Callithrix jacchus: one gene and its partners. The protein of the gene in region 1 purifies or fractionates together with the protein of each later gene. This does not show direct contact. Links are inferred from orthologs where the notes say so. Each region holds a gene or a part of one and is shown in the gene's direction. Other genes may lie near its edges.

Region 1 (4,954 bases):
CAATAGATGGATATGTTTATAGGGTCCATGAGATGTTTTGGTGCGGGCATGCAATGCGTGGTAGTCATGTCATACAAAGTGTGGGTGTCCATCCTCTCAAGCCTGTATCCTTTGTGTGACAAACAACCCAAGCATGCCCTTTTAGTTGTTTTTAAACGTACAATTACACTTATTTTTGTTTTGATTTCTGCCTTTGGTGTTAGGTCTGGAAAGACGTCCCAACTACAAAATGAGGTCAACTATGTTACCCTAGGTTTTCTCCGGATTACTCTGTGGTAAATAATCAAATTGAATAAAAATCAACGAGCCGACGCTGGAAAAGTGACAGAAGAACTCGTATCGGGGGGGAGGACACGAGCCCTGAATTGTGCTTCCGTGCTGGGCGCGCTTAGCTCTCACCCGTCAGCGCCGTCTCACTTGTTCCACCACGTTTGTGCTCCACATCAGAACGCAGCGCAGGCCACCACAGGCGTTTTCACAGCTGCTGTTCTTGGTGTGTACTGCTGATGTTTGGCCATGACCAACTGACCGTCCTCATGTGTTCTGTCCCCAGACGAGTTTGGCGCACCGACTTGTGGCGCGAGAGGGCTCAGCCGCTCCACTTCCCCTGTACACGTCGCCCTCCCTGCCCAACATCACGCTGGGCCTGCCTGCCACCGGCCCTTCTGCTGTAAGTCACCGCCTGGGTCCCTGTGGCGTGGGGTGGCGGTGGTGGTTCCTTCCGCCTGAGCATCCCCGGCTGTGCTTTCCAGGGCGCGGCAGGCCAGCAGGATGCTGAGAGACTCGCCCTCCCCACCCTCCAGCAGAGGCTCTCCCTTTTCCCGGGCACCCACCTCACTCCCTACCTGAGCACCTCGCCCTTGGAGCGGGATGGAGGGGCAGCGCACAGCCCTCTTCTGCAGCACATGGTCTTACTGGAGCAGCCCCCGGCACAAGCGCCCCTTGTCACAGGTGAGCACAGGTGGACTCGGCTGCTGCCAGGCTCTGAGGCTGCCCCCGCTCTGGATGGTGCCCGGCCCTCCCCTGCCTTTGGAGGAGACAGAAAGACACGCCCGTCCCACCCCCACAGTTCCCAAACACACATCCCCGTCATGTCATATAGCCACCGTGGCTGCAATGCAAATCCACACCCCCCTCCCAGAGTCAGGTAGACGGAGCGAAAACAGAAGTCACTGCCCCTTTCTCACCTCTCGGGAGAGGTCGCTCACTGGCTCTTGCGATTTGCGTTTCTCACTGGGCCACGCTGAGCCGGTGCTGGAAGCCCTGAACCGACTACTGTGGTCAATTTCCATTAATGGAACATTTTTCAAAGGTGCCCCATCTGGGGAGTGGCCTGAGCTCGGAAATTTTTCTATATTTAGAAAAATACAATTCAGAGAAAAATAAGAACTTTCTTATGAAGTTGCATCAGCAGTGTGAAAGCGTCACTCCAGAAATGAGGGTGCACCAGCTGGCACGGGGGCTCACGCCTGTCATCCCAGCACTTCGGGAGGCCGAGGCAGGTGGATCACCTGAGGTCAGGAGTTCGAGACCAGCCTGGCCAACATGGTGAAACCCCATCCCTACTACAAATACAGAAATCAGTTGGGCATGGTGGCAGGTGCCTGTAATCTTAGCTACTCATGAGGCTGAGGTAGGAGAATCGCTTGAACTGGAGAGGTGGAGGTTGCAATTGGCCGAGATCGTGCCACTGCACTCCAGCCCGGGCGACAGAGCAAGACTCCGTCTCAGAAGAAGTGAGGGAGCACCCACCCCCGTGCTGTGTGGGACATCGTTGTACATCTTCATTTCTTTACATCCGGCTTCCTGGAAATCTCTTGTTCCCAGTGAAAGGCTAAAATAATCTCAGAGCTGCACCCATCAAACTCTGGCAGTGAACCTGGTGGAAACTCAGGAGCTTGGTGTGTTGTAGGAGGCTGAGCTGCAGGGTGCAAGGAGCTGGGGGCTGGCTTGGGCAGGCCTGGGCCTCTGGTGTGACCGGCCTGGGGGATTTTGGTGTTCTCTTGCTTTGTGCTGCCCGTGTGTTGACACAGAGAGGATTGCTCCTTATTCCTTCTTCACCCGAAGCCACAAGGGGCCACCTTTGTTTTATGCCTGGGCCCTTTTGTTTGATTCTCCAGAAGCTCAAATTCGTGCCCCTGCCCTGTTCACAGCAAAGGAGCCCGTGGTGTAACCAGGGAGGGGCAGCCCTCACAGCACCTCTCCAAGCTCCGGCCACTGTGGTAGGCACGGGGATCTGTCTGGAGGAATTTATCTGAGATGGTGTCTGAGTCTCCTAGATGCTCCAGACAGCTAACCTGAGGTGGGGTTTCTGAGTTTCTCCTCTCATATCTTCTAAAAATGTGAAATATGCCTGATCCTTCAGGATCCCTGGGATTCGCTTTATCAGAGGTGTTTCTATCACTCATTTTTCCTTCTTCAGATCGGTTTGTCATACGTGGTCAGGTCACATGCATAGTCTTGTGTATCGGGTTCTGGGCAAACAGCCTTGTTTCGTAGAAGCTGAATGACGGCTTTGCGTGGATCTCACCTCTCCAAGACGCGTGCTGAGCTCGGCATTGCTTCCTCCCTGCGCAGTCGTCTTGTCCTCAAAGGTGCAGCTTGCTCACTGGCATGGGGACTGTCCATGGTGCCCTCCCAGGCTCTGTGGCGCCAGGGGGCCCATGCTCGGCTGCCCAGCTTGTTCTGGCCTTGCCTTACACCTGTGCCCAGCCAGCCCCTCCTGTCCTGCCCACCACCTCTGAAACTCCGCAAGCCCTGTGTCTCTTGCAGGGCCCCCCCAGGTTGCCAGCAGCTCGTCCCACCAGTCCCCTGGCTGGGAGCCTCCAAGCCAGTGTCTCACGTGCAGCATCGTGCGGCCCACAGGCGCTCCGTCCCAGCCTTCTCCCGCTCTATGACCTGGGAAGGCTCTGTCAGCCTCATTCTTCCATCTGGGAAGTGGGGGCACCAAGGGGTCCACCCCTGCGTGCCTGATGAGGGTTAAGTGGGCTGTGCAGTCACATGCCCTGCAGGTATGGTGGTGGTGTTGTGATCATTACCTTGTTCTTAACCTGCCACCTCCCACACTCGCTCATGCCCCCAGCCAGCCCCTGTCCATCCTTCTCAGTGCCTCAGGGGTGCTCCCCCAGCCCAGCCATAAGCAGGGCCCTGATTTGGAACCCACTGGGACTGCCCCATCCTCTCATGGAAAGAAGCCTCCTGCACAGGTTCCTGCCCCTCCAGTCTGTCCTCCTGCAGCCAGCAGACTCTCCTGGAAGGCTGGCGGCCCCCACGCTGCCTGGAGCAGTACCGGCCAGGTCAGGAGCCGCCAGCCATGAGGAGCTGTGAAACTGAAGTAAAAAGATAAAGTCAGAATTGGAATTCACTTTCTCAGTCCCACGTGGACCACATCCGGTGCACGGCTGCTGCACTGGATGTCCTCCCTGTCACAGCAGCCCTGGCGGGGTGGCGCAGGCCTGGAGTGAAGACCCAGCGTGTCAGCAGGAAGCCCAGCCTTGCTCCAGGAGCCTCATCGCTCTTCCCCAATCCGGCATGGCAGCTGGGCGGTGGGCTCAACGCTGGACCAGGCCACAGCCCGCAGTCCTCAGCCCGCTCCCAGCGCCGGGGCCTTTTCCCAGTCGGCTGTGGTTCCACCACCCTCGTCCCAGGCCTCAGTTCGTGCCCCCATCCTGCCTCATCAGCTCCTTCCCCGGACCACGCTGACTCTTGGTTTCTGGGTGCATGCAGTCCTTTCCCACAGTTCTTGGCCAGCTTGTGCCTGACTTGGTCTCCTGGACAGCATGCCTGTGTTTTCCTAGCCCACCTTCCCGCTGGTAATCGTGGTGCACAGGCCTATAGGATATCAGAGCTGGGACAAACCTCCAGTCACAAACACTGAAACAGAGGCCTCTGTGGGTGGTCACTGGTGGAGACCAGAGGGGTGAGCCATGGTCCCGGGTCTCCTGGAGTTGCTCCTACACGCCACACCCTCCAGTCGGCCCTTTCCGCCCTGCTCCGGGCAGCCCCTTGCCGCTGTCACAGGCTCAGTGTGACTCTCCTATGTCCCTGCTTATGTGCTGCTCCAGTGCGGCACTCCGCAGACCGTCACTGTGGACTCACACTCTGCAGAGTGGCCGCTGCATTTGGAGATTAGTCTCTGCATAAGTAGCCGAGGCAGGGAGTGGAGCTCAGGAGCCCCCCGTGGGTGAGAAGGGAAGTGCGTATGTGGAGCCCTGTGCTGCTGCTTGTAGGGTGCAGAACTGTGGGCCTCATCATGGCCTGGGTGGCCCAGCTGATTCCTCTATGATGCCCATGTGGCTGAGAAGCAAGATGTTGAGAACCATGTAACCTGCTGTCAGGACCCAAGAGACAGGGCCTCTCAAGACCCAGGAGGAGCAGACATTTGGAGAAGAAGGCTGGAGACCCGGGCTGTGCAGCAGGTGGGCATGGGGAAGGCTTCCTGGACAAGCGGCGTCAGAGCTGAGATCTCACTAGGAGCCTGCAGGCGGAGAGGCGGGAGAAAGGCCCAGGTCGAGGGAGGCGTGTGCCTGCTGGAGGTGGCCTTGTCACAGATCTTTCTAGCCTCCTGGCCACACTCAGAGCATGCCACCAGTGTCTTAAGGCTACTGCTTTCCTGAGCTGGCCGCAGAGGTCCACTGTCCCACTGTCACAGGCTGAGAGTGGAGGGTGCCTCTCGCTTCCGTGTTAGTAATTACATGCCACCGTTTAGGTCTGACCTCCCCCGCAAACAGCGAGCCCCAGGAAGAGCTTGAGCACAGCTCGTTGTGGCTCATGTCCTGCAACTGGCACGTTAGGCTGTGGTCCTCAGCCCTGGCCTGGCCCCAGCTCCATCCCCAGAGGCTCACATAGACTGATTGGTGCAAGTGGGTTCAGAGCATGCAGTCTGTGGCTCGGGCAGCCAGGATTGCCAACTGTGAGTTGGACCTAACTCTTGCCTGGCTTACGTCTCAATGGA
Region 2 (5,450 bases), on another chromosome or scaffold:
CTACTAAAAATATAAAAATTATCTGGGTGTGGTGGTGGGCACCTGTCATCCCAGCTCCTTTGGAGGCTGAGGCCAGAGAATCACTTGAACCTGGGAGCAGAGTTGCAGTGAGCTGAGATTGCACCACTGCACTCCAGCCTGGGGGACAGAGCAAGACTCCATCTCAAAATAATAATAATAATAATGCCACCAACAATACTAACATTTACTGAGTGCTTACTATGCACCAGATATTGTTCTAAGTGTATACATATTATCTCATCTAACCATCCATAATACTGTGGTACAGACACTTTTATATCCATTTTACAAATAAGTAAACTGAGGTATAGAGATATTAAATGACTTGCCAGTAAGTTTCAAAGCCTGTGTATAAGCTCACTCTTGATTCTGGAGACAGTGATTCTTAACATAGTATCTTCAGAATGTTAAACTAAAAGATTTGTAATTTACAGAATTAGTTTTTCCACAATTAAAAAAGAAATTATGAGTAATTATTTTGAGTTCTCTTCAGGCATTTCCCTTAGTTCTTTTCAAGATCTAATACATATCATTTAGTGTTGTAGATCTGATAAACAAAAGTAGCACAAAGATCAAAGTTTTTTTAGAGATGGAGTCTCGTTAGGTTGCCTAAGCTGGAAACTCCCTAGGCTGGCACTACCAGGCTCAAGGAATCCTCCAGCCTCACCCCGCTCAGTAGCTGGAAACATCTTGTCAGCTAGGTCAACATTTAATTATAACTTTATAGGTCTACTGACCAGTTAAAAAGAGGTGCTGTATACATTAGTTGTTGTCAGAGTTTGATGTCTTTATATAGGCCATTGTTTTTACATGCTAATACAATTGAAAGCCAATACGGATATCTCTGTTTACATCCCAAAGCTAGGTTTTAACAAGAAACTCATAAGGCAAAGGTGAGAAGTAAAATAATTTAGTATCAAGTGGAGATATATTTGCAACGTTCCTTGGTTGAGCTCAAAATATATTCTTTTTTTCTTTTAAAAGACTGACAGGCTTGAAGCTTATGCCTCCAAAGACAAAAGTGATTATTTAGTAGCTTGCAAAGTTGCCAAAGGCCATTTTTTTCTACTGAATTTGGTTTATACTCTTATTAAGGTCATTTATACCTATTTGTAACTGCTTAACATAGTTTCAGATTTTAAGATTTCCCTGCAACTTCATTTCCCCTGAGGTTTACAGCAAGAGAAGTTAGTTTTTATTTTTAATTAAACTCCACCACAGAAAAACTTAGTGGACAAGGAGAGTTCCCCTGTGTTCCATGGCAGAGTGCGGTGGGTGACACTGACCCGTGGTTAGGTAACCTGACAAGGAAAGACCCGTTGTAACACATCTGAACAATGAGACCAATGGAAGGGCTTGCTGCCACGAGGCGAAGTCTGCTTTTTTGAACTAGGAACTCAATCAGAGTTGGGCGGCAATCCTGCCCAGCACTGCGGCGGAAGAGAAAGAGAGCCGGAGCCTTACATTACTGCACCAAGAGTATGAAAATATGATGCAGGTTTGGGACCCGGCAACTGAAATCCCTTCTCAGCAGCGCCTCCCAAAGCTGGCCACCGCCTTCCTTAGGAGAAAGCCCAGAGTCCCCAGACCCGGGCTGAGCCGCGCCCCCAGCTCTTTTCTCTTTCCTCCGCAGCTAAACACAGACGAGCACGTGAGCGGGGCAGCGCGTCCCAGCTGTGCCTCAGCTGACCGCCTCCTGATTGGCTGAGAGCGACGTGGGCTGGGGTGGGGACTGGCCGCCTGCGTCGCTCGCCATTGGCTTTCGGGGAACCCGCCTCCACCTCAGGTGAGGCGGGCCTGCGGGAGCAAGCGCCGGCCCGAGCAGGCGGCGGGCGCGCTCCCGCCCGCTCTCCCCTCTCCGTGCGCCGGAGCGCGCTTCCGCCTCCTCTCCCCTCCCCGCGCGCCGGAGCGCGCCTCCGCCCTTGCCCGCCCCCTGCCGCTGCTTCAGCTTCTCAGTGCACAGAGCTGCCTCGTCTGAGGGGACGCGAGGATCACCCTCGTCGTCGCTTCGGCCACTGCGTCGGGCTGGGCCCTGACAAGCCGCCCGAGGAAAGAGGCTCGGAGTCTGGCCCGGACCCCGGCGATTGCCGCCCACTTCTCTTCCTTCTGGTCTCACGAGCGGTTTCCCGCCTCGCACCTCCACCTCTGGACTTGCCTTTCCTTCTCTCTCCGCGTGTGGAGGGAGCCAGCGCTTAGGCCGGAGAGAGCCGGGGGGCTGCCCGCCGTGAAGGCACGCGGGGACCGATTCACCATGGAGGGCGCCAGCGGCGCGAACGACAAGAAAAAGTAAGCCTATTCCCTCGGCCGGCCGCCTTCGCCGGCGCCCCTGCCCGCCGGCCCGCCCTGGGCTCCCGGGCCAGCGTCGGCGTTCCTGGGGGTGGGGGGGGGCAGCCTTTTTTGTTTCTGCCGCTTCTCCTCTCCCCTCTCTTTCCCCCAACCTCGCCGGCCAGGCTCCCCCGCTGTCCACGTCGCCATCTTGTCGTGGGGGGTGGGAGACGCCTCTAAAGTGCTTTCAGGGGCCGGGGTCTGAGCCCTGCTCGCCCTCCCCGCCGGCCGTGGGGGCCTCGCGCCGCCCACCTACCCGCCTCAAAAACCCAGCCTGCTCTGTGGCCCCATCCGGAGGGGACTTTACCCAGCCCGAAAACCCCGAGAAGAGAAATGAGCTGCAGCTCGGTCGTCGCGGTTTGCACCCGGAGCTTCCGCTCCTTCCCGCCCCCATCCCCTCCGGTTCCATTGAAAACTCGGCCCTGGGGCGGACCCTGCACGCTGGTCCTGTCTTCCCTGTGGGCTCCCGGCCCTGAGTTCCGGACCGACGGACTCGCGTGGTCGGATGCGATCTTGTCCTGTGGTTGTCCAGCCGTCGCGGGTGTCTTTGCCTTTGTGCATTAAGGGATTTGCCGCGATGGCTTTAAGATGCGAACTTTTTAGTTTGCACGTGCAGGTTTTGTTTTAATCGCCTTGAAAAACTTGCCTAGACCGAGAGTCAGAGTAACGGGAATTTAGGGAAATAGCAACATTTTAAAGAGAACTTCAGAATTGAATACTTGTGTTCATATCACCTGTCACGGCAACGCAGATATTATAAATGAATATATGCCTCATTAATTCTTGAAATAGTGAAAATGTAGGGGCTGATTAAATGTAGGCAGTTTTAGTGATATTGAAGAAAAAGCGTATGATGAGTTAATGAAATACGGCACTAAAATGATGCAAAAATTTTGGAATTGTCTCATTTTTCTGAAATCGAAGTATATTAAAGGAAAACCTTTAACATATATCCAAAGTAAATAATCACTCGGTTAGAACTGAATCCGAGTTTTATAAATCACCTTGAAGTTGTAGTCTAAGGGGTACATTAGATATTAAAAATTGTGATTTGTACCAGTGGTGTTAAGAGCTAACTTCCCCATCCCTCAACACACACACACAATTTTGTCCACTTTGGTATTTAAACTTTTAAGGAAATTATTTTAAGGAATTGAAGATTTAGAGTAAGAGTTTTGGTTAGTAGACTGGCTTTGCTGGCAAATCCTTCCACTCTCTGGGAGAGAGATTAATTTCCCTAATCAGTATCAGCAGAAGATAAACTTGTTTATATTCTTGTTGTTTTGTAGATCCCTTCTCCTGGTCCCTCTTCAGTAGAATGTTAAATTTTCAGTTTGTGTACACCAGAGAAGGCACTAATAAAATTCAAAAAGTGAGCGAACAGGTCTAGATTAATTCCAACAGTTACCAGGAATTAATTGCAGTTTATTTTGCGGAGGTGATTACAGTGCTTTTGATGAAATGATGAGCTGCTATATTGTAAACCTAAGGCAGATTGCCTCTCTATAGTGCCAATTTTCTGTCCTTATTATATATTGAACCATACTTAATACAATGCATTAAATTATGCACCAATCACTTCCTTTTTATATACAGTATCGAACTCATTTCTTTGCCATTCATCAGTTCAGAATGTCAGAAGCAGCTTTGAAATAAGTGAATAAATAAATTAGCTACTGTTCCTCAGCCCCAATTCTAAATGAGTTTCTTAGATTTTCCTCAGCCCATGTGTTACTTTCAAAATGTTCTCACTTAAAAAGTTAGAACCTTGGATAGAATGGACTCACATTTCTTAATATAGAAGATCTTGATATAACCGAGAAATTAAGTTAAACACTTAATAAATGGTGGTTACTCAACACTTTTAGATGCTGTTTATAACAGATGACCTTTTCTAACTAATTTACAGTTTTTTGAAAGATAACGGAGATTGGGGGATGGGGATTTTCTTCATGCAGTTTTTTTTTTTTTTTTTTTTTTTTTTCGTTTGAAATGAGCTCCCAGTGTTGGAGTTTGGGAAACAAATTTGTCTTTTTAAGAGAAGGTCTAGAAAACTCAAAACCTGGAGAACTGGAAGAAATCAGAATAGAAAATGGGTATAGTTATAATATTAGAGATTTAACATAGGACATTTCATGTGGGTTCCTTGTTATAGGGGCTGGACTTTAATAGAACGTGTATTTTGATTTTTAGATTTGTAAAGGAATGTCAAGAAAGTAATGATTCTGTTTCAGGCTTCAGGCCAGACCACTTCAAAGTTTTGCGAAACAAGTAGTTACTGAATCATTAAAGTAAAATTTCTGACAATAGATATTCCTTAATTTCCTTCTTTAATTTTGGACGTTAAAAGTCAAGAGGCTCTCTCGTTTATTAGCAAACTTTTCTCCTTAGAATTCTACTTTGATTTTCCTTTTGTTTGAGGAAGCAGCATATAATGATTAAGAGCATAGGATCTGGAGTCAGATACCTCGAGTTAAGGGTCCCAGCCCTTCACTGGTGAGCTTGAGCAAGTTACTGAATGCCTCTGAGCTGTTTTCCTCCTTTTGAAATGATAAGAATAGCAGCCATCTGAGCAGTTATTGTAAAGATTAAATGAGATAATGCATATAAAGCAGTTAGTTGCCTGGAATAGGAGTCTTGGTGACATTGTGTACTTGAAAATAGATGTTGCTTGTTAAAATTGTGATTTAAACTTCCACAACTCTTAGAACTCTTTTTGCTAGGCCTTCCAGCTATTAACTTTAGTTTCTTTTCTGCATCTTCATGCATCTTTCCTATCTTCTGAAAGTGAAAAGACTAACATTGGATCCAGAGTTTTAAAGGACTTTTTCCCTGCTAAAATGGGCAAAAGAGTACATCCAGCCGGGCGCAGTGGCTCATGCCTGTAATCCCAGAACTTTGGGAGGCCGAGGCCGGTGGATCACGAGGTCAAAATATCGAGACCATCCTGGTCAACATGGTGAAACCCCGTCTCTACTAAAAATACAAAAAATTAGCTGGGCATGGTGGTGCGTGCCTGTGATCCCAGCTACTCAGGAGGCTGAGGCAGGAGAATTGCCTGAACCCAGGAGGCGGAGGTTGCGGTGAGCCGAGATTGCGCCATT
Region 3 (5,511 bases), on another chromosome or scaffold:
ATAATATGGGTACAACTTATTTATAAAAGAGAAAACATAATTTTCCTCTCCTTTGCATGAATAACTGCATGTTAAAAGAAAGCTTTTGCCTTTCGATGGTAAACCTGATTATACATACAATAAGGCATGAAAAATCTGTAGTTAAAACACTAAAATATATTTTTGGTATTTTGTCACTAAAAGTTTATTCTGAAAAAGGTCTGGACATTTGAAAAATAAAGGACTAGAATCATTCCCATGCCCTACCAGTGTTTTTTTTTGGGAAAATCAAATTTTCTCTAAAGGAACTTATGAAGATATTTGTACAGTTATCATGATCTAATATGAATCAAAAGTAGTAGAAAGAACGCAGGGATATTCTAGTTCAAACACCCTCCTATCTCCCCACAGCCCTTACCTCCTTGTACATTCCAAATAATGTTTTGTAATTCACTGTCTCCGCCTACCCCATTTACTTTATGCCACTCCTAGTTACTATCACACTAGGAAGAAGTCTAACATGCAGATTTAGAGTGGCATGGATAAATGGCAAAAAATGCCTAGAAAATTGGTCTGTTCGCCTTTATAATTTTTGTTGAAAAATACTCCATCGCTCCTAACTGATGAAAACAGGAAGCTCTATTCATAAATATAAAATCCACTGCCTATAATATATAATCATCCTAATAAGAAAATGAGTTCTATACATACTTCTCCAAAGGGGCAAAAAAGGAGATAGTTTCCCAAAGATGTTTCCAATTTTCTTCTGAATCAGAATTAGCAAATCGAGACGACTAACATACTCTGTCTGTGGGCATTATTCCTTACTACACACAGGATTTTGTAATTTATTTCAAAGGTTTAGAAACAAAAAAATATAGCTTCTGTTAACCCACTCTATTCTAAGCTCACAGAATCTAAAGTGAATATCTACATTATAACATAAGCATTTTACTTTATAGAAGATCTGCTATCAGACACTTTGTTAACATCCAAACTACTTAAAGAATGATATAAAATGAATACGCTTCCATGAAAGATAAAAATTATTACAATCATAAAGAAAACTAAGATTCATCCAATAAACTATATTACAATTCCTGTCATTCACTTTTTTAAGATCTTCCAACTAGGCATGAGATAACGGTATACATGAAAGATTACATTTAATCGTTATTGTAAAGGCCGCCATCTAAAATATTGATAATAAACTAGACAGCTGTAATTTAAAATTTGTAAAAAAAAAAATGCCTAGACTAACACTTTCATGACAGCCAATTACAGTCAAGCCTAGCAAGCAGTTTGCAACCAGACCTTAAGGTAAACTTTTTTTTTTACAATGAGTTACAGATTCACAAGTTTAAGAAGACAAGAAAAAGGAAAACAGAAGGAATCCAGCCACCCAGCAAATATGAAGCAGACCCCAGAATGTGATACAGTCCAAAGATGTAAATTATTGTAAATCATCACTGTTGTTCAGAATTTCACACAGACTCTTGAGCCAATTTTGTTCATTTATCCACAGACACAATAATGAACTAAAAAGAGGAGGCAAAAAGGCAGGGGTTGGGGGGGAAGAGTAGAAAGGAAAGTCCTTAACTGCAGAACTCTGCTCTACAAATGCTTAACCTTACAGGAGTTTGGGCTCCTTCAGCATTTGTATTCTATCCAAATCCTCATGAGTCACAAAAATTAAAAAGCTATATCCTTCTGGATGCCAGGAAAGGCCTTACCACAAGCCTTTTGTGAGAGAGAGAGAGAGAGAAAGAGAGAGAAAGAAAGAGCAAGGGGGAAAAGCCACAGTGGTAGGCAGTCCCACTTTACTTTGAGTACTGTGAGGTCACAAACCACATGATTCTGCCTCTCCAGTAATAGTGCTTGCAAAAAAAAAAGGAGTTTTAAAGCTTTTGCTTTTTTGGATTGTGTGAATGCTTCACTCGCCTCACAAACAACCACAGAACCACAAGTGCGGTGCAAACTTTCTCCAGGAGGACAGCAAGAAGTCTCTGGTTTTTAAATGGTTAATCTCCGCAGGTCACTACCAGCCACCGAGACCAACAGAGTCAGTGAGTGCTCTCTAACCACAGTCTATGCAGTAATAGTAGGTCCTTCAAATATTTGCTCATTCTCTTTTTGTTTTGTTTCTTTGCTTTTCACATGTTACCAGCTACATAATTTCTTGACAGAAAAAAATAAATATAAAGTCTATGTACTCCAGGCATACTGTAAAACTAAAACAAAGTTTGGGTATGGTTTGTATTTTCAGTTTAAGTCTGCAAGCAGTATTTACAACAGAGGGTACAAGTTCTATCTGAAAAAAAAAGGAGGGACTATGGCATCAAACAGCCTCTTCAGCACAGTGACACCATGTCAGCAAAACTTCTTTTGGGGTAAGTGTTATCATATTTTTAAATCCTGTAAGATATGAACCTGTTAAACATAAAGGTATGATTCTTAAACTGCTAGCTTTTCCAAGTAATATATTAAAGATCTTAATAATGCTATCTTGTTGCATTAAGAATTGAAAACGAAATTTCCGTATCTATTTGCATTTGGTATCTGTAATGTTATCTAATTTTCAAAGTAATGACTTGAAATAGACAAAATTAAATTATCTCACATTGATCAAAATGTTTTCTAGAGTTACAGAAGTGAGGATATGAAAAGAGTAAAAGAAACAGCTTAATACTCTCATTAACCCTCACCAGAAGAAAAATCAGATTCTAAATTAATCAAAGCATTATAAATGATTGACTCCGGCAGCTCCCAATATTTGAGCAAACTTCAAAAAGGAAACAATTTTACAAAATAACAGACCACAGAATTATCTCAACATTATGGTCTACCATGTAAAACACAGAAATAAACCTGTAATACTATTAACATTTTAACCAGCTCAACTAAAAGAAATCTACTTATAAATTTAAACTATATCCTATCTAAATGTTTGTTTCTAAACAACCATATATAAGTATACATTCAGCTGAAACAAAATTATGATAAGCACATCATAGCCAATTTTAAAAGATCTTTATAGTTTCCCAGGATATTAAAGTTCATGGAAGTATTTTAAAACTTATATGCAACTGCATTTTTCTACATAATTTTAATTTTACATCCACACACTGTTATCCATAGTAGACCTTGTTATAAACACACAGCAAACACTGAAACGTCTAAGATTCTTTTAATCACATTCTTGGACCTACCAAAATGAATACTGCTGTTTAGTCTCATAAAAAATAAAGCTCCATAAGGATATCCCATATGATTTTTAAAAGCCACAACCATTAAACCATACTGGCCTTTAAAAGAAGCAGGCATAATATAGTCCCTAGTATTTAATTTCAACTTAGTGTTGATATAGATATGCAAATGACTTTAACATTCATCAGCTAATGTATTATAGTAAAATATTTAAACACACTTACAAGATTCTCTTTATGACGTCCAACATGTTCCAATACAAGGCAAGTTTTTAAAATTTTTTCTCATATCCTTTAAATTTTTTTGCTGTGTACATCTATATTAACTTTGCTTTTAACTTACAACTAATGACTGGAGTTTCCTTTACTCCTCCTACTTCACGCACTTTAACTGGCTACTACTAGAGGATCAGTCTTAGTTTAGGTCAAAGATAAAAAACTTCAAAGGAGAAAAAATGCTTTCTCTTATAGGGTAATGAAAATGTACAGTATTTTACAAAAAAAATGTAAAATTGCTGTAGTGACTCCCTCAATAACTGTAAGTGGGCCCCCTAAGTTATAATATATACAATATAATAATCCAGATTAATTTAAAAATTTAATGATGCGTACTAAGTATCATTCTAAAAATTCCTATATTAAGGAAGCAGGACATAAATACAGCTAGACTACATTATAACACATAGCATAATTATACCTAATACATTGAAACTTTTGTTACTACTACCAAAGAGATAAAAGGATAAAGAATGGTAAAGACTACTGTTACACAGAGGGATCATTTGAAACAGGGATAACAGAGGTATCAGGGAGGGATAACAGAGACAGTTAAGTTACTCTTAAACAATATCACTGTGTTTAACTACATTTTAAATACATTTTAAAAACTGGATCAGGAACAAAAGTTTCAAAAAATTCTTCAGTATTAGAAGTATAGCTACACAAAGAATCTGTTAAAACTGTCACAAAGAATATATTAAAATGCTTCTTATTCTATCATAACAGGGATCTTATATTTCTGTAACATTCTTAATAACTATTCTACATTAAAATTTCCAAAACTTGACCGAATTCTAAGTAAGGCACAGTAGTGAACTTCTTTTTAACATTACAACCAATTCTTCCTCTTCTGAAAAGTGGGTTTCACCTTCCCTTTTCCCAGCTCCCAAACAGTATCTTAAGCCCTCAATTGAGAACTTAACATGAACCCACTACCTCAGACTAATTACAGGTGAGTAGTAAACATCATGTATAGGTTATCATCACATTGCAAACATTTCCCCATTCTATAATCTATGTGAAGTCTAAAACCTCACTTCAGGCTTTAGATTATTATATAATGATTATCACAACGAACTAATGAGATGTCATACGTATGTGCTCTAATTTTGTAAAATAGTTAAAGTTTAGGCTTTTCCTAGGTGAGAAACAAATCACATATTAACAACTGGCTCACCTCAAATACAATGAGTGAGTGTGTGTGTGTATGTGTGTGTGCGTGTGTGTGTGTGTGTAGGAGAATATGTCTCAGTGTCCTTGATCCCTCAGCATACTTCACCTTGAGTTAAAAATTTTCAATCTGTACAGCTCAAAATCTGTCCATTATTTATCATAAATATAGCTTGCTGAAAAATCACAGATGTGACCCATGGAGCATTTTATAATTAATAACTTATGAAAATTTATCAGCTGACTGATTACTTAAAATCTTTGTAACTGCTTGAACAAGATGTGTGAACACTGCTTTCCAAAACAGCAGCTGTGGTCCATATCAATAATAATATTTTTATGGTTTTGAGATTTAGTAGTGACAATGTTTTATAACTTGGTTCTAAAATACAGAGCTAAATTCCAAAATCTAGAGCGCAGGATTACAAAGTTAGGAACAAACACAGAAAAATCACTCTAATACATATCAAAAGTGAAAAATATCAAAGTAATTCCCAAAGACTCATATAAATTATTTTAAATCATAATTATCCTAATTTCACATTACAAATTGTTAAGAATTTTTTTTAATTTTTTAATTTTAAAAAATGTTTTGAAACGTAAAACAGTGAAAATAAATTGTAGAAAAAGATCTGGCTTGTCTGTGTGAAGCTCCTGATCAGTCAGTCTCTGTATCACAAGGCATGAAATATACATAATTATATTATGATATATTTTAGTTATTTTAAAATTACAAAATATTAATTTATTCAATTTCACTCCTCCAGCTAACAACTGATAGTCTGACTTGTTTAAATCAGTCATGCTAAAGTTAAATCCAGTAAGATAGAAATGTTCCAGTTTGTTAAAAGAACACTGAAATATTTGATGGTTAAAT
Region 4 (4,954 bases), on another chromosome or scaffold:
TTAAGATGAAAACTATAAATGCATGTAATTATAATCTTACCTATGGGCAAAAGCAGGAGACTAAAATCATTTTTTCACTTCCCTTTCCTCCTGTGGGTTACATGTTGTGAACATAATGGGTTAGGTGTTCCAAAAAGAGGAGGCTGGGGTTACAAGGAAGATCAACCTAGGTGGACTTTGACTATCAAATAACTACATTTTCCTAGCCACATGCTGTTTGTGAGCCCACAGTATTTTATAATGGACTGTTTCTAAGTACCACAGGGGTATATGAGTGAAAGCAACAAAATGCAAAAAAGACATGTGCTAAAAAACTAGGGTAGACAGGCTAGCCAACAGAGATACTGCATAGATTAGATCAGTTTAACCAACACCCAAAATAAGCCCGTATTTATTTAATTTAGTATAAATGTAGATTATTGTGTGTTACATGTAGAATTTAATTGAATTGTTTAAAGTACATTATAGAAATTACTACTTACTGCTAAATGATTAATATTTCAGTAAAGAAAACCACCTTTGGTTTATCAACTTATTAGAATTTTACCTTTGAATTTTGACTAGCTATTCATAAAAAGCAAGGCCAGCATAAAGAGATTTTTATTATGCAAGTGCTTTGGTTTTAAGTATTTCAAGTTAAAAGTAAATAATTGCGAGTGGGAACCTGTAAACCAGATACTCATTTGCTAGCTCTGGATTTCATATAGATGAGTTATTACTCACTGGCAAAGGACTGGTATTGTTTAAAGCACTTAATTCGTACATAAAATGGGATTTAAGCGTTGTAATTATTTAATATTTAAATTTATATTTGTTTGCCTTTTATTTCCTAAGTAGTTTCAAAGAGCTGCAAAATACTGAATTTATCAGATGTTTGACAGTTTATATGTAGAAATTTAAATACCTCAGATTTTACCTGAGTACTAGATTGCTTTAAAGACCTTACTGAATTGTAACGACATAGTAGATAACAGTTACATGAAGTAAATTCTGAAAATCATTCAGAATGAGTGCCTATTTAAAGCATATTAAGTGCAATGAAAGAAAATTTGAAATAAAGTTCCTTAGTTCTGGATGTAAAAAATTTAAAATATACTATAGAAATATTAAATATTACTGAATCTATCTTGACCACATTTATCTTAAACAGTTGAATCACATGATTTCCAAAGGCTTGTTTTTTTTTCCTTTTAAGTTTGATGCTTTTTGTTAAGAAAAGTTGTATACCATGACTACATTTTAGAAAACTTGAAGTTATATAATCCAAGTATTTACTAGAAATTTAAAAGTATACATTAAGTAACAGAGAAGTAAAATATGTAACACACACACACACACACACACACACACTCTAGACCTTAGCGTACTTGTCTGGGATTTTAAATGGGTAGAGTGGGATGTAGAAAGACTATAGTGATCTTTTTGTGTGTGTTATTTAGCATGTTGCCACTAGGAAAATAAATTCTCATACTTTTCCTTTTGCTTTTAGGGTTTTCTCATTCAGCATTTACCTTTGGTATAGAAAGCCATATCAGTCAGTCCAATATAAATGGTGCACTTGTCCCACCTGCTGCATTGATTTCCATCATCCAGAAAGGTCTACAGTATGTAGAAGCAGAAGTTAGCATTAATGAGGTAAGGAAGACTTATTTCAAATCCTCATTTTACTCCTAAATATGTCTCTACGTCTGTTGTCTTGCTTGCTTCTTCAGCATTCTGACTTTAACTTCACTGGGTTAACAAAAATGCAGACAGTTCATTGCTAATGTAGATTGCACAGGTGTTAGGGTCATTATCTGTAGTTTATTTGCCTTAATCTGATTTTATAAGTAAACACTAAGAAATTTTTTATTTTTATTTTTATGTTTTTGAAATGGAATCTCCCTCTGTCACCCAGGCTGGAGTGCAGTGAAGTGGAGTCTCAGCTCACTGCAACCTCCACCTCCCAGGATCAAGCAATTCTTGTGCCTTAGCCTCTCGAGTAGCTGGGATTACAGGCATGTGCCACCGCATCCGGCTAATTTTTGTATTTTTAGTAAAGATGGGGTTTTTACCATGTCGGCCAGGCTTGTCTTGAACTCCTGACCTCAGGTGATCTGCCCGCCTCCGCCTCCCAAAGTGTTGGGAATACAGGCGTTAGCCACTGCGACTGGCCAGAAATAATTTTTATTAACACAACAGCATCGTGCTGTGGAATGCTGAGATCGTAATTACTGGACTGAAAATGGTAAACTCTCCATGTTATTTGAATATACCCTTATTTAAAGCAATTTATAATTGAAGCCAACTCTGGATGGTACTGCTTATCTAAGGACTACATGTAAATAGTTTGGCTCAGGTGTCAGCATACTGTGACCCATTAGCCAAACCCTGCTCTTGGCTTTTGTAAATAAAGCTTGATTGGAACATAACCACACTCATTTACATATTGTCTATGGCTACTTATGGCAGAATAGTAGTTGCAAAAGAGACGTTTTGGCCTGCAAAGCCTAAATTAATACTTAATGTCTAGTCTTTTACAGAAGAAGATTGTAAGCCCCTGATTTGTCTGTTTTAAAGTGTGTGTGGGGTGGGGTGGTGGGTCCTCGCTTTGTTACCCAGGCTGGAGTGCAGTGGCATGATCTTAGGTCACTGCAGCCTCCGCCTCTTGGGTTCAATTCTCCTGCCTCAGCCTCCTGAGCAGCTGGGATTACAGGCACCCGCCACCACGCCTGGCTAATTTTTGTAGAAACGGGGTTTCCCCATGTTGACCAGGCTGATCTTGACTCCTAACCTCAGGTAATCTGCCCACCTCGGCCTCCCAAAGTACTGGGATTACAAGTGTGAGCCACCATGCCCAGCCTTGTTTAAAATTTTTATGTGAAGAGAGAAGCTTTCCCCCTTTTACTTCAGAGACGAACATGTTCCCCTTTTGCAAGTATTCTTTTTTTTTTTTTTTTCCTTTGGAGACAGAGTCTCACTCTGTCCCCAGGCTGGAGTGCAGTGGCGCAATCTTGACTCACTGCAACCTCCATCTCCCAGGTTCAAGCGATTCTCCTGCCTCAGCCTCCCAAGTAGCTGGAATTACAGGCATGCACCACCAAGCCCAGCTAATTTTTGTATTTTTAGTAGAGATGGGGTTTCACCATGTTGGCCAGGCTGGTCTCAAACTCTTGACCTCATGATCCACCCGCCTCGGTCTCCCCAAGTGCCGGGATTACAGGCATGAGCCACTGTGCCTGGCTAGAATTTTTTAAACTGAAATATCTATGATTTCTGTATCAATGATTATTACTAGAATTAGGAATTATACTAAAATTTATTTTACTTTGTTTCTGCAGCTCTTTGAGTGAAAATCCACTAACACAAAACTAAATTTTGCCTTAAAATTTGTGTAAATTTGACATAGCTTTTATTCCACAGTATCTGTGTTGGTTTTAATACCTTTTAAAAATTATTTATATATTAAAATACTTTATCCTGTTCCTCAAATACTACATTACAGAGGACAGTTCAGAAGGATGTGCTGTGTTTTTGCAGCTCACAGAACCCTGCAAACCACTGTAGATTGTCACTGGTACATGTTTACGGTTTAACTGAACCGGACTTCACATGCGCATGTTCCTAGCTCATTTGTACTGTTTCCGTTTCCAACTTGCTCTGTGTTTGTGTCTCTTCTTGTGCTTACTTGGAGAACTCCTTATTAGGAACTTCCTAATATCAATAGGTGGAGCTTTGGAAATTCCAACAACTCCCTAGTATTAAGGAGCACTGTAGCCCAGGAAGTCTGTTTCTGCTTTAATATCCTAATCAAATCACAGGAAACTTTGTAGCCCACAACGTTTTTAGTTTTATAAGAGAGGTATTTACTATAATGATGTGCCGCCAGGCCTCTGATCATTACATCAGCTATCCCGTGTTGTTGTTGCTTTCACTAACAGAATTTTGGAATCTAAGTAATACACCTTTTTATCAGCTGGGCTACATCTTATCCCTTTCATTTTCAGCAGTGGCTTCTTTTATATTTCAGTTCTGTCCGTACAGCATTTAATGACAGTATGAACTAAATGAAAAGGAAAATCTAAGCAGCCATTTGCAGCTGGCTTCTTGCAGTTTCTTTCTTCCCCCCAGACTGCTGCTTATATGAGTTCAGAAAGTTCTTACAAATGTTTTTCTTGGAATGAAGATTTTCATTTCATTTCTGATTTTGTATAAATACGAATAACTTTAAACACTGCCTTTGCCTTTTCTTCTCTCACACTCTTCCACATCCAGGATGGTACCTTGTTTGATGGCCGACCAATAGAGTCTCTGTCCCTGATAGATGCCGTGATGCCTGATGTAGTACAAACGAGACAACAAGCTTACAGAGATAAGCTCGCACAGCAACAGGCGGCAGCTGCTGCAGCTGCTGCCGCTGCGGCCAACCAGCAAGGATCTGCAAAAAATGGAGAAAACACAGCGAACGGGGAGGAGAACGGAGCACACACTATAGCAAGTGAGCCAGACAAGAATGTGTTTGTTTATTTTTTAAACTTTTGTTTTAGGTTCAGGGGTGCACGTGCAGGTTTGTCGCATGGGAGAACTGGTGTCACAGGGTTTGTTGTACAGATGATTTCATCACCAGGTACTAAGCCTAGTGTCCAATAGTTATTTTTTCTGATTCTCTTCTTCCTCCCTCCTCCACCCTCAGGAAGGTCCCAGGAGACAAGAATTTTTAAAAATTTATTTTCAGAGGAAATATTTTGCTTTACCAGAATGTCCCATCTTCTAGGCTGAAGTAATTTCATCAGTTGTTTGCACCAGCTTGTTTCCCTACCTTGTACCACACAGTTCAGATTTTTTATTCCTAAAGCTCCAGAAAGCTAGATTTACTTTTATTTTCTTTTAAAAATATTTAGAAACCCTTTTCCCATTTTTAAGTGAATTTTTGCATCTACATCTGATTCCTAAATAAAATTTGTAAAACTAGTTA

What was found.
Region 2: the proteins of HDAC4 (region 1) and HIF1A purify together in Homo sapiens (affinity purification with western blotting; 4 studies listed by BioGRID and IntAct, with this or other methods). This does not show direct contact. The link is inferred for Callithrix jacchus from reciprocal best matches to the Homo sapiens genes HDAC4 and HIF1A.
Region 3: the proteins of HDAC4 (region 1) and RUNX2 purify together in Homo sapiens (affinity purification with western blotting; 3 studies listed by BioGRID). This does not show direct contact. The link is inferred for Callithrix jacchus from reciprocal best matches to the Homo sapiens genes HDAC4 and RUNX2.
Region 4: the proteins of HDAC4 (region 1) and TBL1XR1 purify together in Homo sapiens (affinity purification with mass spectrometry; 3 studies listed by BioGRID and IntAct, with this or other methods). This does not show direct contact. The link is inferred for Callithrix jacchus from reciprocal best matches to the Homo sapiens genes HDAC4 and TBL1XR1.

What each region holds. Positions count from the first base shown.
Region 1 is NC_133507.1:160,448,705-160,453,658, reverse strand, and holds part of HDAC4 (histone deacetylase 4), read left to right. Parts: intron 1-553; coding exon 554-670; intron 671-752; coding exon 753-951; intron 952-4,954. UniProt on the Homo sapiens protein: Responsible for the deacetylation of lysine residues on the N-terminal part of the core histones (H2A, H2B, H3 and H4).
Region 2 is NC_133509.1:96,404,959-96,410,408, forward strand, and holds the start of HIF1A (hypoxia-inducible factor 1-alpha), read left to right. Parts: upstream 1-1,975; 5' UTR 1,976-2,272; coding exon 2,273-2,307; intron 2,308-5,450.
Region 3 is NC_133505.1:53,756,113-53,761,623, forward strand, and holds the start of RUNX2 (runt-related transcription factor 2), read left to right. Parts: upstream 1-1,905; 5' UTR 1,906-1,907; coding exon of another isoform or gene 1,908-1,996; coding exon 1,997-2,369; intron 2,370-5,511. UniProt on the Homo sapiens protein: Transcription factor involved in osteoblastic differentiation and skeletal morphogenesis. Essential for the maturation of osteoblasts and both intramembranous and endochondral ossification.
Region 4 is NC_133518.1:9,853,930-9,858,883, forward strand, and holds part of TBL1XR1 (F-box-like/WD repeat-containing protein TBL1XR1), read left to right. Parts: intron 1-1,489; coding exon 1,490-1,635; intron 1,636-4,254; coding exon 4,255-4,477; intron 4,478-4,954. UniProt on the Homo sapiens protein: F-box-like protein involved in the recruitment of the ubiquitin/19S proteasome complex to nuclear receptor-regulated transcription units. Plays an essential role in transcription activation mediated by nuclear receptors.